2 linked regions of the Saccharomyces cerevisiae S288C genome follow. The protein of the gene in region 1 purifies or fractionates together with the protein of each later gene. This does not show direct contact. Each region holds a gene or a part of one and is shown in the gene's direction. Other genes may lie near its edges.

Evidence for each region.
Region 2: the proteins of COA1 (region 1) and COX15 purify together in Saccharomyces cerevisiae (affinity purification with western blotting; 2 studies listed by BioGRID, with this or other methods). This does not show direct contact.

What each region holds. Positions count from the first base shown.
Region 1 is NC_001141.2:46,291-49,204, reverse strand, and holds COA1 (Coa1p), read left to right. Parts: upstream 1-1,662; coding exon 1,663-2,256; downstream 2,257-2,914. Other genes in the region: ubiquitin-specific protease UBP7, read right to left, coding at 1-1,114; ATG44 (mitofissin), read right to left, coding at 1,232-1,444, 1,507-1,515; AIM20 (Aim20p), read right to left, coding at 2,390-2,914. UniProt on the Saccharomyces cerevisiae protein: Required for efficient assembly of cytochrome c oxidase in the mitochondrial inner membrane. Involved in a step coupling MSS51-dependent cotranslational insertion of COX1 to the addition of its heme A and copper B cofactors.
Region 2 is NC_001137.3:451,761-455,419, forward strand, and holds COX15 (Cox15p), read left to right. Parts: upstream 1-1,698; coding exon 1,699-3,159; downstream 3,160-3,659. Other genes in the region: EMP65 (Emp65p), read left to right, coding at 1-1,475; MAG1 (DNA-3-methyladenine glycosylase II), read right to left, coding at 3,386-3,659. UniProt on the Saccharomyces cerevisiae protein: Catalyzes the second reaction in the biosynthesis of heme A, a prosthetic group of mitochondrial cytochrome c oxidase (CcO).

The sequences.
Region 1 (2,914 bases):
TGTAGATAGGTGTGTTCGTCTGCTTGTCCCACAACAAGTTTGGATCCACATTCACTAAGTTCGGAGCCACAATGTGATTTATTGCAGATCTTTGTGGTATTCTCAAGTCGATGAGTAAAACCTTTTCACGTTCAACGCGATTCGATAAAATACTAAACAATTCTGGTGCTGTGATTATACTCTGCTTTTGTAAAATATCCAAACTCTGGATGAAGCCATCATTCTCAACGTTGAACAGATCATCATTGTCTTCCTTGAGGTTGCCGCTATCCACCATATAAACAGAATGGTAAGAATCCTTTCGATGAGTTACTGATCTATCTGCGGTTATTTCTCGAAATGGTGGGTTCAAAGATGCGAAACTAGTGTCATCCTCGTGGTATATGGAGGGTACATCTTCCAATAAAACAGATGGTCTCACTGGAACACTTGTCTTTCTTTCAGGCTCACGAAAAGCTGGCGTTGGTATCACTTCGGGCAATAAAGCCAGTTTCAATTGGTCGTTGGGCTCTAAGTTTGGTGCTGTCCAAACAGGTGAAGATTGTTCTGCGTCGTCTTCAGTAAACGTGCCTTTGAGGCCATGATCTTGCGGTGCCGCGGTGTCAAGTGATAGTGAAGCTACCTGACCTGAAAGATCGTCAGCTGGAACTGAAAATGCCCTCTTCTTGGTGATTCTGTGCTCAATACCGGCCCCGTGTTTAACCGATTCATCTAGGACCACACCGATTTCTTTCTTCACCATAAGCACAACATTGGTCATGTTCATTTCATTCTCATACATCTTTTTTAGATCTGTATAGATGCTGTAGGACTTGTTTCGTGTTTGGAACTGCAAAGATTGTGGAATAATTAAGAACACGTAGTAGCATCCAATGATAAACGCTGTCAGTGCATCGTTGGGCCTATCGTGATGGATTGAATCTAGATATAACTCGAATAGGTACTCTGTATGCTCCAGAAGGTCCAGCAGCTTCTCCAGTTTTAGCTGCGGATAGTAGTGCTTGATATCTTCGTGGTACAGGTCCTGGACCCTTCGCAGTAATTCATTTGAGTACTCAGGCGTGAACGGCGTTATATGTGGATGCATGGCCGTGCCCTTATCATCGTCTAGCATTTAAAGTTCTATGCGTAATCGATAGCGATAGCTCTTTAAGTTGCGGTTATTAATTTTGGCCCCCGGCTGGGTGCCGTTATACAAAATATTATCAACATATATAGAATATAAACGTACCTATTTCCTAGCGAAATACGTCGAGGAGCCACAAGTGGCAACAGAATAGTCGTATACAGACTCTCCCAAGTTCAAGTACCGCTTCATGTAGTTTCTCATAGTCTGATTGTCCAGAGTCTCCAGTTTAGGCGTCAAACCTGTATTGCGTTTAATCCCCGCGAGGCACGTTGATACCAAGACCAAATCTATGGATATGTGTACTAGTTTCCCTACCTAACCAATTTCTCTTGTTAGTATTACCGGATGCGTTGTTAGTAGCTCATTTGGGTACTTACTAATGTCATCTCTTTGCGTTTTGCTTGTTCTTGTTTTGATCATTGTGGAGAGAAAGAAAGCGCCTTCTTGTCATTTTAATCCCAGTTTTAAAACAGTTCGATCTTTCTCTCCGTACCAGTCCACGACATAAAAGTAAAAGATAAAACAGACTATACATGATGTTAAGACTAGTAACTAAAGGGTTGCCGAAAGTGACACCTTCTGCAGCTAAGGCTGTGCTAGTGCGTGGTTCCTTGCTGCACTCATTCTCTACCAGCGCTAGATTCAATAATAGTGTCGCTGAAGATGAGGCCAAGATCGTTTTGAAAGACAAGAACAGGCCATTGAGAATTGACAGAGAATTGCCTGACCCAACCACGGAGAGGAGAAAGCGAATAGCTGGATTTTTGTTGTTTTCTGTGGCCATTGGGTCCGCACTATCTTTGATCTTCAACTATGAAAAGACGGAGTCCCCCATTATCTCCAACACGCTGTATTATATAAGACGGTCTCCAGCAACTAAAAACATACTGGGTGAGAGCATAGAATTTGATGGTATCATCCCTTGGGTCTACGGTGAACTGAACTCTGTGAAGGGTAGGATTAACATTACGTTTTATATCAAGGGGGACAAAAACGTTACTGGAACCGTTAGACTGGTTGCCGATAGGAACACTCACGACGAAGAGTTTTTGATTCATGAATGGAGCGTCACTGCCGCTGGCCAAAAGATCGATTTGCTAGCTGAAAATACCAAGACACCAATTTAATAGCAAGTATGGTGCTATTTGTCTGTAAATATCCTTTATTATTATTTTATTTTTATCGTTATTACAAGTGGTCTGGGTATCTATACAAATGCAAAACTATGTAGGTACGTTTATATATCTATATGCATATATATTAGTGTGGCCGTAAGCTGTCAATAAATTCTCTCTTGTTGACAGTATAATTCGTAAAATCGTTTTCATATGGGTCATCCAGTTTTATTTCTTCGTGTAACGCAGTATTTTCTGTGCTCGATGACAAGTTTGACGTAGAAGCTGATCTCAAACTACTCGTTTCTTTGCGCGATAGCGTCAGTGGATACATAAAACTATAGGAAGGATCTCTGACCATCCCATAATTCACCTTTTCGCCGCTGAAAATGACGGGGACATTGGTATATGCAGTGCTCTGCTTTTTTGGACGCAAAGTCCCCATACTAGCGTTCAATTGCCTTCTGTATGCTGGTGTGTACCCTGCCTTGGCGGTTTTTTCTTGGCAGGGTTTAAGATCCTGGTTTGCTTCCTTTTCGTTTATCGTGGAAGCTTCACTTGAGCTGTTAATTTCGGCTTTAAAACCATCATATACCGACACTGCCACTTCTTCCATTACCATCTTCTCCAAATCAGCATCTCTAATCTCTTCTTTTTTGTAACGTCGTTG
Region 2 (3,659 bases), on another chromosome or scaffold:
AGGATGATTATGAATTGGAACAATTACTCAACATGATAAGAATACCAATGTTCCTGGAAAAGTTCATGCTCTTTGCACTTTTAACAAGCTTGGACTGTTTTTTGTATTACTTTACTGTATTACCGATACGACTGATAAAGGGATATGTAAAGCAATTCAAGAGTTATCGTCAGCATTATCGCCTGCAACAACGGTCTGGGCATAAGAATAAAATACCCTTTCGATATAGAATAACTTCAAGAGAATATAAAGAGAGATGTATGATTTTTATCATCGTGATTTCATCCATTTTGTTGAGCAAACTAGACACCTCAAAACTATATCACAGGATAAAACGGCAAAGTACGATGAAATTGTACATGCTATTCAGTGTACTGGAAATGGCGGACAAAATGTTGGCAAGTTTGGGCCAGAGCTTATTAACGGTTATGCTTTCTAGGAAAAACTCGGAACGGATATTACTGCATAAATGTTTGTTAGTGTCAATGAGCTTGACATATGTGACTATACACGGCTATGTATTGGTTTACCAGGCCATTTCATTAAACATAGCCGTGAATTCGTATTCCAATGCCTTGCTAACTTTATTACTATCCATGCAATTTGCAGAAATCAAATCATCGGTTTTAAAGAAATTTGATAAGGAGGGATTTTTCCAAATAACCATTGCAGACGTAGTGGAAAGATTTAAGTTGACCTTATTATTGTCAATAACTGGCCTTAGGAACCTCCAGTCGTGGTCATCTTCATTATCGAACACAAGCATCAATTTCTGGAGTCCACGTTCCACATTATCAATCGTCATTAACATACTTTGTGGGCCGATGGTAAGCGTGGTAGGGAGTGAAGTGTTAGTGGATTGGGCAAAGCATGCTTACATCACAAAATTCAATCGGATCCGCCCACAGATATATGATAAGTTCTATTATATAATATACAAGGATTATTCTACGAGAACGCACAAATTAGAAGATAGATTGGGATTGCCTTTACCTGCATTCGTTGTCCTTTTTATTGTAATGGTGAGGCCAACACTTTTTAAATCATCGGAACCTTCTTACCTTCCTTCGCTATTTAGGATCCTCTTCATGGGGGCATCCGTGTTTTTACTAGCATTGTTGGCAAAATTTACACTAGATCTTATTTTAATCAAATGGAGCAAACGGATAGAGCAACGGTTCAGAGACCAAGCTTTCAATACCGTTGTAACTGAAGAAGAATACGTCCCAGGTTTACTCTCGGGCGGTATGGGTAAAGTCGACGTGTCTACAAGAATTGCATTACATTCTGATTACAATAAAGAGAATCGTATAGAGACCGAAAGTGTATCGCCAATGCGGAAAAGAAAAACTACTTTAACTGCTGAATGTACTCCTCCTAGCCTAAATGATATTAGAAGACAGAAAGATTCCAAGAATCCACGATCGCTTGAAAATGTCGCTCGCTATAAAATGGTTTCTAAAAGAATATGGTAATCTAAGATCCGCATTTATCGCGGCTTACGGCTTTCGGATATTTCGTATATTGCAAGGAGCAAAAAAGAAACCCTGCTTACTAAAAAGCTATTGTTTTGCAGTTTATAAGTTCTTGCCTTTTGAATTATTGATCTTTCCTTTATCGTTTATTTAGTTTCCTATTGTAACTTGGAACTGTATTATATAATAGTGCACAGCACTGAAGTTGTAACTACTGTACGTCATGCTTTTCAGAAACATAGAAGTGGGCAGGCAGGCAGCTAAGCTATTAACGAGAACCTCGAGTCGTTTGGCCTGGCAAAGTATTGGGGCCTCAAGGAATATTTCTACCATCAGACAACAAATCAGAAAGACTCAACTATATAATTTTAAGAAAACTGTGAGCATCCGTCCATTTTCTCTCTCCTCCCCTGTTTTTAAACCACATGTTGCTTCAGAATCAAACCCTATAGAATCACGTTTGAAGACCTCGAAGAATGTTGCTTACTGGTTAATAGGTACATCCGGTTTGGTATTTGGTATTGTTGTTCTTGGTGGGTTGACTAGACTAACAGAATCGGGGCTGAGTATTACCGAATGGAAACCTGTCACAGGTACTTTGCCCCCTATGAACCAGAAGGAATGGGAAGAAGAATTTATCAAGTATAAGGAATCACCAGAATTTAAATTGTTGAATTCTCACATTGATTTAGACGAGTTCAAGTTTATATTTTTTATGGAGTGGATTCATAGATTGTGGGGTCGTGCTATCGGCGCTGTTTTTATATTACCTGCAGTTTATTTCGCTGTATCTAAAAAAACTTCAGGCCATGTCAATAAGAGGTTGTTTGGTCTCGCAGGTTTATTAGGATTACAAGGATTTGTTGGTTGGTGGATGGTGAAGTCTGGTCTTGATCAAGAGCAACTAGACGCAAGAAAATCAAAGCCTACCGTTTCTCAATATAGACTTACTACGCATTTGGGTACCGCCTTCTTTTTATACATGGGTATGCTCTGGACTGGTTTGGAAATATTGAGAGAATGTAAATGGATTAAGAACCCTGTTCAAGCCATTAGTCTCTTCAAAAAATTAGATAATCCCGCAATTGGCCCAATGAGAAAGATTTCTTTAGCTTTGTTAGCGGTGTCTTTCCTTACCGCTATGAGTGGCGGTATGGTTGCCGGTTTGGATGCTGGTTGGGTCTATAACACCTGGCCAAAAATGGGTGAACGATGGTTCCCTAGTTCTCGTGAATTAATGGACGAAAACTTCTGTAGAAGAGAGGACAAGAAAGATCTGTGGTGGAGGAATTTGCTAGAAAACCCGGTTACAGTTCAGTTGGTCCATAGGACATGTGCGTACGTTGCGTTTACATCAGTACTAGCTGCTCATATGTACGCTATCAAAAAGAAGGCCGTAATTCCAAGGAACGCGATGACCTCTTTGCATGTTATGATGGGCGTCGTTACTTTACAAGCAACACTTGGTATTTTAACTATATTGTACCTAGTCCCAATATCGTTAGCTTCTATCCATCAAGCTGGTGCTTTGGCGTTGCTAACAAGTTCTTTGGTGTTTGCCTCTCAATTAAGGAAGCCAAGAGCTCCGATGAGAAACGTAATCATTACCTTGCCACATTCAAGCAAAGTAACTAGCGGTAAAATTTTAAGTGAAGCGTCGAAGTTAGCCTCGAAACCATTATAATGGATAAAGGTATTCTTATGAGAATTGACAGTATACTCGCTTTTCCGCTTTGTCGCTCCAATGGTTGGATTGTATGTGTGAGGCTTTTTCTTATTATATGTTGGTATCCCTACGAGAAGCTGTAAATATGAATTTCTTTAGTAGGCATCACACACAACAATAGGGTGTATTTATTTTTATTTTTTTTTTTCTTATATAAATGTCAGTAATACATGATATCTTTAAGTTAGGATTTCACGAAATTTTCTTCTGCCTTCATCATGGCATCTGTATTTGTGCTCGCGAGCCTCCAAAGTATGAACATAAACACAGACCTATACGGAGAAAATGTTTCAGAGCATTTTTCCATTATGTCGTCGTCATATATTTTCCAGTTGTATTTCTTATGCTTAATCTTACTCTTTTTAACTACTTTTCTTTCACGCATTAATTCTTTTTCCAATTCTGGCTTATCTGAAAGGTATTTTGAAAAACCCCTAGCAATACCTAGATCTTCAGGA